Linked DNA regions of Tribolium castaneum. The protein of the gene in region 1 interacts with the protein of each later gene in a pairwise test. Links are inferred from orthologs where the notes say so. Each region holds a gene or a part of one and is shown in the gene's direction. Other genes may lie near its edges.

Region 1 (6,693 bases):
TTTTAGTGTTCGTGGCCGAGGGCGGGGTCGAATGCATCAAAAGCCGCACTCAGGGAATTCAAAATTGTGTCAACTCCACGTTCAAAATCTCCCCGCAAAGCGTCAACCCCAACGCAATTCCCAACATATTGATCGATAAGAAGAAATGCGAGTGAGTCACGAATTTGTGGGTATTTTTACGTATTAATAAAATTGCAGCGATTTGGGTAAACTTCAGCGATGTGTTGTCGAAGAATTGGAAAAGTGCAAAGACAGCACCCCTGCTAATATCGTTGATGCACTTTTTAAGTTCGTCAAGCGTTCGGCGTGTTCTAATAAAAACAAACGGAGCGCGATGATCCGTAAGTTCGGAACTGGAACATCGCGGAAAGTTTCAAGTTTGTTGTTTCAGACCGCATTTTGAAAAGACACGTCGCAACGGTCAACCATTATTTTAATTCCTCGGAACTGAACAGCATATTCGAGTCCACATTTAGGGAAAAGTGCAAAAATGCCCCCGAAAACGGCTTTAAATCTGTCCAAGTAGCTACAAACTTGGAATTTTTAAGTTCGTGTTCTATTTCAATTATTTTAGGAAAGTTTCAAAATTGCCAAAAAATGCATCTACGATCAGACCACCGAGTATCCCATTTTTGCCACACCTTTGGAGAAGTTCCAGGAGGAATTTAAAAAATGCACCGACGATTTTGCCGAAAAGGCCAAAGTTTGTTTGCCGGAAAAAGAAAAATATTTCCCCGAATTTTACCAGAAAATCTTTATAAACTTTATCGAGTTTTTGTACAACAACCAAAACACAATTCGTAAGTTCCCACTAACAAAAACAATTTTTTCAAACATTTTTTTCCAGTAAGGGTGTCGTCTAGGTCCGAGCTTGTTAACTGCTTCCAAAATTTCAAGCAACATAAAGCGAAGTCCGAAATGAGCAAATGTTTCCATTCGTTTGAATCCACCAGTTTGGAAAAAGACGCAGTTTGCACGTAAGTCCCCAATTTGCCAATTATTACCTTGTGATAATTAGTTAATTTCAGGAGAATAACAAAAACCAAAAGTTGTGTTACTGGACAATTACAAAAGAGGTGCATTCGCGATGTCACCGTCAATCAATTAGTCGAAGATTTCTTCGAGGTGTTGCTGAGTCCTTGTGATAAAAGTGGTTAAAACGAGATTGTTTCCACCGCCGGATAATGGCACTTCCATACATTATATTAAATTTATTCTTGGATAAATAAAATAGACGAACTTTAGCTTTTACAAGTGTTTTATTGGAACCACATTGGAACAGCTCACGTTTTCCTGTCTTAATAATGACAACAGACGATCTGACTTGACTTGACCTGACTTGACTTTTTGAAGATATTATTCTTTCAAAAAAAAAAGCAAAATTGACGTCAAAACCACGACTCAAAACTTATCGATCTATCGCAAAAATGACGCTTTTACTCCTAATAATTTTTTCTTTCAAAATTACGGTCTTATTACAATTTAATAATAAAGCACCTATTTTTTTCTTTCTAAAAATTATAAAACAGTTTATTTAGTTCTTTGTGTTCTCACTTAAATGCCTACTGTAATAATATAAAATTTAAACCAAAAAAAATACTTAAAACCAGTGTAAAATGAGAAAAAACAAAGCGGTCTTTCTCTTTTTAATAAAATAAATAATCCATAAAATTTACAGCAATATATTTCTAAACCACTAATTATCAGTAAATTCGGAATTCCACAGGTCCATGAAAAAATAAATTAAAAACATTTAGGAAATACAGTAAAACCATACTTTCAGCAGACTCACCCTGTATACTATTTTATATGTAGTTACGATTTTTTGTCTTTTTTGAAGTAAATAAAAAAATAGGATTATTATTTTGGAAACAATATGGAGAAATATTTTTTATATTAATTTTTTTCATTAGAAAATAAATTAAACTGAACAAAATAAGTAAAAATTAGATTTGGAACCTATTTTTGTAATTTTCTGCATCTATGTATTGAAGAAAGGTATCCTTAAAAAAAGAGTTAAGGTTTTAATCGCTTTTTATTTAAAAAAAATAACGATTATTTTATTTATGCAATATAATGTAAACAGTTAAGAACTTATACAAAACAAGTTTAAATAATTTAAAGAATATTTATGCACGAAATGACCCCATTTTTTCAAATAAAAGCCACTTCTCAATGAAAAATTAGTCGAGTTGTTTGAAATATGTCGAAAATACGAGGGTAGGTCAATATGTCCTTACAAAATCTAGGTGGCGGCGCTCGTCGCGTAGTAACCAATTTTTATATCATCTTCGTATCAAATAATTTATCAGCGTATCAATATAATTTTTTTACCAAAATAAATTAATAAAAATAATAAATACATGCATGAAAACTAATACACTTGTGTCGTGGCTCCCTCTTACATAAGCTGTGCAACCTATCACAGAAACCTATGTTGCATAACAGTCGGTAGGCAACCGGCAAGACAGAAAAGAGAGATGCGAAAGCTTCAAAATGGCTGCTTGACTACCAGTAAACTTGTGTTTTTAACCCGAAACTGCCAAACAAACCATTTATTTAATTAGAAAAAATTCAAAAAACACCACTAAAGTGAAAAATATTAGTGACCAGAACTACTGTGATTTTTTTAGTGCCAGTTTTATTCAAAAATCGGTCTTTAAATACCTGTGTCAATGCACTTATGTTAAAGTACAGTCTGTGTTAAAAAAATCCAGGTGAGAATTTTAAATTTCAAATTTTTTTATTAATATTTATAACTGCGATTTTATATTTTTAATATAAGTATAACAATGTTATAGTCGTTTTTGATGAAAAAAAGCGGTAACTCTGCGGGTAATAATAATAACAATGAAAAAAAAGGAAACTCGAAAATTAGATATGCAGATATGCAAAAACGAGAAGCTCTGCCTCCTGAATTATCTCATACGCGAAAATCGCGATTTATTATCACTTTTAATTAAGCAATCCCAAGGTTGTTAATTACATTTTATAGAGCAGAACTCAGTTGCAAAAAGCGCGAATGAAAGTAAATACGTTCAATAAAATTGAGTTTTAATGAACTCGTCCCTGATTAGGCGCTTCTGATTATATTATATTCAAGACAGTGCGCCTAAAACAAAGTGAGTCACCACTTAATCCGAGCGAAACCCTATTCATCCCCCACATGTTACACGGGGTAACATACCTTCTATACAAATTTGACGGTCGATACTGGACAAAAAATAAAAGTGCTACTTGAAAAGCTTCTCAGTCGAAAGCTTTTGTTTTTACGCGACCCTTCACATAAAAAAGGATTTGTAATCAGGCTACAAAACTTGCTGTAGTCGTATTCCGGGGTGAGTTTTAGTGCTTGCCGCCCCAAAGAACTATTTACTATATTTTGTTAAAAAACTCTTACTTTCCGCTGCGGTCAACTCATTTCTTGTACGATTGATCCGCCGTGTTTTTACAGTGATGAATCTTTCATTGCTTACCCAACCTTAACGTTTGTTAACCGAAATCACCTGCTTTGAATATCAAATTGATGGAGAGACAAAGAGCGCGCAAATGAAAAATTACACGCTCGTGAACATTTTTTCGGAAAAATCTCTTGTTACAGTCACCTTCACGTGATGCATGATACATACGAGCGGATTTATTGCTCTCTCACTAACAATAATTTTAAATGTCAGAATAACCAACCAGTTGAACGTAAAAGTAAATAATTAAATTGCCTCAGGACGTCGTAAAATATGTAACTGTAATTTAGAATAGGCTTAATTAGGGACTTGATGTGATCGGTAGCCGGTAGCCGCATTTTTCATCTGTAGTTGATTTATTTTTTCAACATTGTTGCGGACAATTATAATCAAGATAATTGCAGAGGAAGGCATCCATCGAATTGCTTAATTAATTTTCGCACTAGCTTTGTGCAATCAACGCAAAAAATTATTGCAACACGAGTTTCAGGATCGTGTCTAGTGTCCATTTGAAAAGCTAGTTCTGCATTGCAACAACTCCATCAAACATAAATTTCTCCCGTAATATCAATAAATCTGCAAACTTCGTAACTGTAGTAAAATTCATTATCTCCTTTTGATAGAACAGTTGGAAACCAACTCCAGCTGGTTGCCTTGTAATTGTTGGTAGCAGGTGGTAAACAAAAACTTAAACACGTTTCGAAACGTCTTTGTGCCCTAAAGACCATCGGCGAAAAAACAGAACATCATACTTCGAACAAAATTAAACTCGAGGCAATTTACGAGAAAATTATAAACTGGAATGACATTAAGCCGATAAATTGCGTGTTTCCGACGTTTCTTTGGGGAGCAGAGAGTCCCAGGAGCCACTAACGTTACTTCCTAATGGCAAAAGGCGATATACAGAGTGACTCAGCCAAATACCTATGACATAACTCATTGTCAAGTGTTTTTCATTTTTTATTTAAACTATTAGATACCAAAAAATCCGACTATAAAAAAATTAATTTATTCTTCGACACTGCCAAAATCTTCGATTTTTCTCCTGTGTAAGGAAGTTTTTACAACTGTTTTGGTATTTTTCATTATGGAACGTCAGATTATTCTTAACAAACTTTAAGCCTTGTTGAGTCTAAAAATGTTGTATTCAACTCGTTTTCGTGTAAATCGGCTAAGTTATTTCACCTCGTGAACGATAAACCAGTCGTTTTCACTCGTGACTTAATAATCCACTCGTGATATTAAGTGTCCAATTTACACTCAAACTCGGTAAATAAATAATTATTATTTACAACTCGTTTTTGAAGTTTTTGATGAAACTATTAGATTTATTTTTGTTCTATTTGCTGATTAAACATCAAAAAGTAAAAAAAAGTAATTTTTAGGAAATATTTTTTACTCGTCATTTACCAATTTTCTTCAAGTTTATAATGAAAAGAAAGTATTGTTTTTGGAATTATTTGACAAATATTATATCAATACACATTTACTTACCCTAGTTGATGTGCAATTTTTGAAAAAAATATTTTCAGTTTATTTATAGTACACGTTTCTGTAAATCTTTACGAATGTCAATAGTGTGCAGAACATGACGATAAATATATAATTTACTTATTAAACGAATTGGGAATAATTTTAAAAACCATTACCTAACAAAAACTGGTGATAACAAAATTTGTTACAATTAAAGGAGACTACTCGGGAGAATAGTAGAGATTTTATGGCAATATTTTTGGAGATATAGTAAAATAAACTCATCTTGTATTAAATAGAAGTATGTATTTTTTCTGATAATTACAATTTTGTTAGTTATTTTCTTAAGAACTAACTTAAAATAAATTGTATGAACGTTATTGTGCAATTTAATTTTTGCTGAAATTGAATGTATTTACTCTAGAAAGATGTTTTCATTTTATTTTATAGGCCTTTTGGTTTGGAATCTTATTAAATGACGAACAAATTAAGTATAGATAAATTTGCAGAAAGAAAAGCAAAAAAAAAACAAATTTTGAAAGCTAAATTTGAGGATCTTGCAAATTACTTGAAATAAATTGTATGAACGTTATTGTGCAATTCAATCTTTGCTGAAAGTGTAGGTATTTTACTCATTTTACTCATCATATTTTATATGCCTTCTAGTTTGGAATCTTATTAAATGACGAACAAATTAAGTATAGATAAATTAGCAGAAAGAAAAGCAAAAAAAAAACAAATTTTGAAAGCTAAATTTGAGGTTCCTGCAAATTACTTGAAATAAATTGTATGGACGTTATTGTGCAATTCAATCTTTGCTGAAAGTGTAGGTATTTTACTCATCTTATTTTATAGGCCTTTTGGTTTGTCAATCTTATTAAATGACGAACAAATTAAGTATAGATAAATTTGCAGAAAGAAAAGCAAAAAAAACAAATTTTGAAAGCTAAATTTGAGGATCTTGCAAATTATTTGAAATAAATTGTATGAACGTTATTGTGCTATTCAATCTTTGCTGAAATTCTAGGTATTTTACTCATCTTATTTTATAGGCCTTTTGATTTGGCAATCCTATTAAATGACGAACAAATTAAGTATAGATAAATTTGCAGAAAGAAAAGCAAAAAAAAACAAATTTTGAAAGCTAAATTTGAGGATCTTGCAAATTACTTGAAATAAATTGTATGAACGTTATTGTGCAATTCAATCTTTGCTGAAAGTGTAGGTATTTTACTCATTTTACTCATCTTATTTTATAGGCCTTTTGATTTGGCAATCCTATTAAATGACGAACAAATTAAGTATAGATAAATTTGCAGAAAGAAAAGCAAAAAAAAACAAATTTTGAAAGCTAAATTTGAGGTTCCTGCAAATTACTTGAAATAAATTGTATGGACGTTATTGTGCAATTCAATCTTTGCTGAAAGTGTAGGTATTTTACTCATCTTATTTTATAGGCCTTTTGGTTTGTCAATCTTATTAAATGACGAACAAATTAAGTATAGATAAATTTGCAGAAAGAAAAGCAAAAAAAACAAATTTTGAAAGCTAAATTTGAGGATCTTGCAAATTATTTGAAATAAATTGTATGAACGTTATTGTGCTATTCAATCTTTGCTGAAATTCTAGGTATTTTACTCATCTTATTTTATAGGCCTTTTGATTTGGCAATCCTATTAAATGACGAACAAATTAAGTATAGATAAATTTGCAGAAAGAAAAGCAAAAAAAAACAAATTTTGAAAGCTAAATTTGAGGA
Region 2 (6,496 bases), on another chromosome or scaffold:
GCGTGGAACCCATTTTTAATACTTTCAATTTATATTATAGAAAATTCATGATGAGTAATGGCTGAAAGAGCCTGTGCAGTAAATAATACAGAAAAATGTACGGTCTTTGAAAAAAGTCAGGGGCAACGTAAAATTATAGAAAAAAATAAAATAGTAAAATTGAACCCTTTTTTTTTGGAAAATAAAAATTTTAAAAATAGATAGGAGCAGATTTTTTATTAATATCTTGAAAAATTAAGGAAATAGTTCAAAATCTAATGCATGTTTCGTGACATTACAAATAACTTTTTTGCTGTTTTTATCTAATTTTTAGAACTATCATGAATTTTTAGAAAACTTGTGCTAAAATTGTATTTATTGTTTCATGTTTTATTCAAATAAACCGACTGCAAAAAAGTTGAGGATCTTATGAATTATAGATGAAATCTACTAATAAAAAGATTGAAGTCAGAAGCAAATACATATGATTTCTTTTCCAGATTCTAACGCTGGGAAATTTATAGAATTTGTTTGATGTTAAATTTATTTACGTGCTGTAGAGTAGAGTATATTAAAACATTAATATACCTAACATTTTTCGAGCAGTTTATGCACTTTTTCTGTTTATTTGAGGTGAGACAAAAGGCAGGGTTTATTTTTTAAAATTTGGAACGGTAACTTGTATTACAAACGAGTTAATTACTATAACTATCTAAAGTACGACAAATGTTCCTCTGTCAATAAAAATTATTATTTTTTAAAGTTTGTAAATTTTTCGTTATTTTCTGAATCAACCAAATTTTTTTTAATGTTATAGTAGACTAGGGCGGCAATGGTAATTATAATTAAAATATCAAAACTATAAAACTTTTTGTTTTTCTTCTCAAAATTTTAGATTTTTGGATGTTTTAAATAAATAGGTTTATATTTTTTTCGGATTTTGCTCAATTGAAGCTTAGAGGTTTATTCTAAATTACCATCATAACTGGTGGAAAACTGTCAGCGACATAGTCAGACTCTTCGTTAAGATATTGGAGATAATTTAATCACTGATTTAGATAATAAAATTTTGTACATAAGTGTGCATTTTTTTTCTAATATGTATTTTATAACTATTATTATTATTGATAATAATTGTTTTGTTAATCTATTGTTAATCTATTGTTTTCATCTTACTTATCTTGTTATTATATTTTTTAAAGACTAATAGTTAGTTTGAAAAATATTTTATTACGGCGCCAGTGAGCATTTTTTTTCAATTAGTAAATATACGGCATTGGGCAAAAGTGTGGAACCAAGCGGTTTGTGCAAAAATTTTGTACCTTACGAAAAAACTAATTAGTACATCATTTATTCGCTACTTTAAAAATGTGATCATTTTTTAAGAATTGTTTTTTTGCTTTCTAGTGTAATTTTTTTATGATGATTTTCTACGATAATTTTTTTGGTAAAATATTATGCTTTAAGAATGATTTCTAATTAAATCATTTTGTTTTTAAATCAGTGTCTTATTAAACAAATTTTAAAAGTTGCGTTTCAAACTCATTACAAAGATTTTTTGAACTTTGACAAATCAAAATTACTGCATAAAAAAACAGTATTATTAAATTAGAAGTTATTTTTAGAGCATATTTTATTACTAAACAAATTGCAATAGTAAGGTATCATTTGAAATTTTTTATTATAATAATAACTGGAAAACTTATAAAAAATGGGAAAATTTATTCTTGAAAAATGATCACATTTTTAAAGTAATTAATGTAATACTAATTAGATTTTTTGTAAGGTACATAGTTTATGGGGAAAACGCTTGATTTTATACTTTTGCCCAACACTGTATGTTTAATTTCAAAATTCATTTTTGACTAACTGATAGTTAAATTATCTGTTAAAATCCTTAATGAAATTGGAAGACATAAACATAAAATTAAAAAATTATGTTGAGTCTTTACTCAAAGGAATGTCAGGCCCTACGTTCAATATGACCCTATGTAGCAATATTGTATTTTATCTTTCTTTCTTTTTCATTAAAATATCTAAAAATGGAGAATAGGTACCTAATCCGTTTTTAATTTGCCAGAAGCTGCTAAACCCACTAATTTATATCACTGTAACTGTGATAATAAAAATATAATGTTTATTTTTTTCTTTTCAGCAATTTTTCAGTTTTCAGCAGGTTTTTGGAGTTATAGGCTACGACAAATACAAACTTGTACAGTTTGTTGCATAACCATTTTTTGTAGATATTTTTTGCAATAAACGTTATTTATTATATCAAATACTTTTGTGTGTATTTAATACAATTGTGCCTTCTTAAAAACCATCAAAAATCTAGTTCAGCATTTTTATTTCTGTAAAAAACTGTGCAACAACTGGTAATACAATGGTAATAACGTTGGTAGCGCTGTCTAGTGCAAACATCAGAAAATGGCCACCAAACTAGTCTCGAGTACTCGGTAGGGTGTCAAGTCCATTGTGATGTTATTAAAAATAGTTTTCCTCCCCGAACGTGCAATTTCAAGTATTTCCCCGCAAATAATGTGTTTTCTTTGACCCTCGATCGTTTGCCCCCCAACGAAGATGAAGCCGCTGCTCCTGCTGGCGCTTTCGTCGATCATAAACGGCCTGCAGCACGAAATCTCCCACATCGAAGACGCAATAATTCCACCCCATGACAAGTGCAAGCCCATCACTGTGCCTTTCTGCATCGACGTCCCCTACAACAGCACCATTTTCCCCAACCTGGTGGGCCACAACACCCAGGAGGACGCCGGCTACGAGGTGCACCAGTACTTCCCCCTGATCAAAATCAACTGCAGCGCCGACTTGCACCTGTTCCTCTGCTCCGTGTTCGTGCCCGTGTGCACGATCTTGGAGAAGCCGGTGCCCCCATGCCGCTCCCTGTGCCTCTCGGCCAAGTCGGGCTGCGAGGGGATCATGCGGAAATTCGGCTACAACTGGCCCGAAAACCTCGACTGCAACCAGTACCCCGAAAACTCGAATCTCTGCGTGGAGAAACACAACATCAGTGTGACCCCCACACCGGCAAACGAGCCCCCCGACTACCCCAAGAGCAAGTTCGATTTCAAGGGGGTACGGGCGAAGTATCCGCGGGATTTCGGGTTCGTGTGCCCCCTGCAGTTCGAGGTGAAGAACATGGACTACTCCCTTAAAGTGGGGGACAAAGTGGTGAAGAACTGTGGGGCCCCGTGCCACATGATGTTCTTCAACGAAAATAAGCAGAAATTCTCCCGGGTCTGGATTGGGACTTGGGCTGTTTTGTGCTCGGCCAGTTGTCTGTTCACTGTGTGCACCTTCTTGATTGACACCAATAGGTTTAGGTACCCCGAACGCCCCATTATATTTTTATCGGTTTGTTATTTGATGGTCGCTTTGGCGTACGTTGTCGGTTTTATCGCCGGCGATTCCATAGCGTGTAAGGAACCGCCGATTTCGGATGAAGGCATCAGGAAAGTGAGCATTATCACACAAGGGACCAAATACGAATTGTGCACGATTTTATTCATGGTCTTATATTTCTTCAGTATGGCCTCGAGTATTTGGTGGGTGATTTTGACTCTGACGTGGTTTTTGGCCGCTGGGTTGAAATGGGGGCATGAGGCGATTGAAGCCAACTCACAGTATTTTCATCTGGCGGCATGGGCGATTCCGGCCGTTAAGACCATCACGATTTTGGCGATGGGAAAAGTCGATGGTAAGGAAAATTGTTTTTGTCTAAAGCGGTCCAACAATCAGAAAAGTGTTTCGTCCAATTGCTTATATTCAAAAAATACTACTTTTAAATAAAGCAATAAATTTATCAGTCACAAGTCTTTGGGATTTTGTTAAATTGAATCATTTTAAAGAAACACAAGAATAAGTAAATTGTGTTACTATTTATTATAATTAATAAAAATTAAAACTAAAAGAATCTCAAATTTTTCGATTTTTTTTATACAGGGTGAATAGTCTATTTCTGAAATGCTACCAAAAACAATAATTATACGTACCACTGGCTGTTGGGTTCGCTGAACAAAAAAAGTTTAAGATATTGTTAAGTATTGAAAATCTACAGCGGTATGAAAAATAATATCTTGTCTTTTCTAGAAAATTTTCAAATCTTTTTATTTTATCGGTTAGAGTTGTACCGGTTTTGAATTTTTCAGCAAATAATTTCTCCTACTTTTCAATTACTAATATCCCTAATTTTTTTTCAGCAATTTAATGAATTGAATCAAAATTAGTATAACTAGAGGCATGTTTGAGTAGTAATATAGTTTATATCAAGACAATACTCAGATCAACACAATCGTGAATTGTTTTTTTTTTTTTAATATACGTAAAAGCTTATTTTATTTGTGGTGATATCTGTCTTCAGTAGTTCGATAATCATGCGTTCAACAAACAGAAATCTAAATTTTTATGAATCTTCAACATGAAAGCATAACTAATTTTTTAAAGAAATTTTTAGGGACAAAACAATAAACGAACACAATTAATTTGTGGTCCACAGAGACAATGAGCTGCTGCCAATTTTGACTGTTAAATTTATTTAAATTTATTGTTTTGTAATTTTTTACGGAAGAAATTGTTTTTGATTGTTTATAATTTTGCGACGTTTCGATTTTAATTAAATCATCATCAGGCTGCAATATTGATCTTGCTTGAAGGTGACATGGCACGAACACTTGGTAATTTTTTCTAATTAATTCTAAGTTTTATGGCCGACGCAAAAATAAGTATTTCTAGTCGAAAAAGCAGATAAATTAATAATCTAAACGATAGGGAATAAAAAAATTAAATGTCTGTCTAATTCAAAATTTAATAGTGTCGTTTTCCCTTATTTAACGATATTCTCCGTTTGACTCAGGCTTTTGTCCGATTCTTTTTTAAGAAAAGTGTTACTGCTCAGTAAATTATGTAAAATTTGGGTCTGAATGTATTATACAAACAGGTTTTATTTATAACCGCAAACAAAAAGCTATATTAACTTATTTTTGATATGATGTTAAAAATTATTAAAAAAAACTTCAATGACGTAAATGATGAATTTATCCAAGGGAAGATTTATTTTTCAGTTTATTATGAGAATAAGAGTTTGTGGAATAACTAAAATTATTTGTTACAAAATTGTAACATTTGTAATTAATGTTTCGTGTTTGTCTAACAGGAATAGGTTTTAGATTGGAACTGTCTTCTGAAATTATGAAAAAACCTCGCAAAGACAGAACTTGTTTATAAAGCTTTCGGTAATGAGTTAATGACAAAATTTTCATACACCAAGTTTATGTAAAATGACCAACTTTCCAAAAATAAAATTTATAACACAATGTAATCTCAAATCTAATGACCAACCCTACCTTTAATTGATCTCTTATGAGTGTCCTATGTACAATTTAATTTATTCATAATGTGGAATGTATCTCACTTTACATTTATTTTGCGTGCATTACCTGATAACGAACATTTTTGCCATTCTATATTAATTATTTTTAGTGTTTATAAGATTTTAATTCATAAGGGATTTAATTACTATTACTCAATACTGCAACACATTTTGCTATTTTGGGTTGGTTTGAATTTCTGTTATTTAATATTTCATTTAGAAGGCGATTTTCACTTTATGTGACAAATGATCCAATTCCGCTTTTCTGGTCGTTGTAAATGATGACAAATTTGTCGCGCTTGATCGCGTTTCCGTTTTCTCTGATTATAATAGCATTTAACTATGTATTTAAACCGTTTCAGGTGACGTACTAAGCGGAGTTTGCTACGTTGGAATTTGGAACGTGGACGCCTTGCGAATCTTCATTCTCATACCTTTATGCATTTATCTAGTCTTCGGGTTAGTATTTTTAACTTCCGGCTTAATCTCGCTATTCCGTATTCGTACGGTAATGAAACACGACGGTACAAAAACCGACAAATTAGAAAAGCTAATGATCCGTATCGGCGTATTTTCTATTTTATACACAGTACCTGCAATGATGGTCATTGCTTGCCTGTTTTACGAACAGTTTAATTTCGATAATTGGATGTTGACTTGGAATCACGACATGTGCGTCAAACAGACCTATGCCGTGCCTTGTCCGCAAGACATTAGGGAATATTCACATCCGCTCTTTCCCATTTTTATGATCAAATATCTCATGTATATGATTGTGGGAATAACGTCAAGTGTGTGGATTTGGTCGGGCAAAACGGTGCACAGTTGGAAAGTGTTTCTTAACCGACTCAGAGGCAGACATGCGGCTTACGTTTAATTCAAAACTTAACGAGCCTAATGCACAATTTAATACCGCCTATAAGTTCAGTTGCTCAGACAGACGGACTTAACTACCTCCATTTTTAGCGTCCAAATTTTTTACGGCCGTGTCTTAATGTTGTATCTGCATGAAACGGAAATTCAATTTTTTTCAAGACTGCTCTCTAGCAATACGAATAAATGGACAAATCAGTTCGCGATGCTTCCAATCTGCTTAAGCGCACATCACTATTAAATGTACGTAAGATCCCT

What was found.
Region 2: the proteins of stan (region 1) and fz interact in binary tests that used the Drosophila melanogaster proteins (3 or more experiments, as listed by UniProt). The link is inferred for Tribolium castaneum from reciprocal best matches to the Drosophila melanogaster genes stan and fz.

What each region holds. Positions count from the first base shown.
Region 1 is NC_087395.1:21,416,137-21,422,829, forward strand, and holds the start of stan (protocadherin-like wing polarity protein stan), read left to right. Parts: upstream 1-2,461; 5' UTR 2,462-2,717; intron 2,718-6,693. Other genes in the region: uncharacterized protein LOC656540, read left to right, coding at 7-151, 199-341, 392-522, 575-800, 848-977, 1,029-1,158. UniProt on the Drosophila melanogaster protein: Involved in the fz signaling pathway that controls wing tissue polarity. Also mediates homophilic cell adhesion. May play a role in initiating prehair morphogenesis. May play a critical role in tissue polarity and in formation of normal dendrite fields.
Region 2 is NC_087398.1:10,365,744-10,372,239, reverse strand, and holds the start of fz (frizzled precursor), read left to right. Parts: upstream 1-2,559; coding exon 2,560-3,694; intron 3,695-5,727; coding exon 5,728-6,242; 3' UTR 6,243-6,496. UniProt on the Drosophila melanogaster protein: Receptor for Wnt proteins.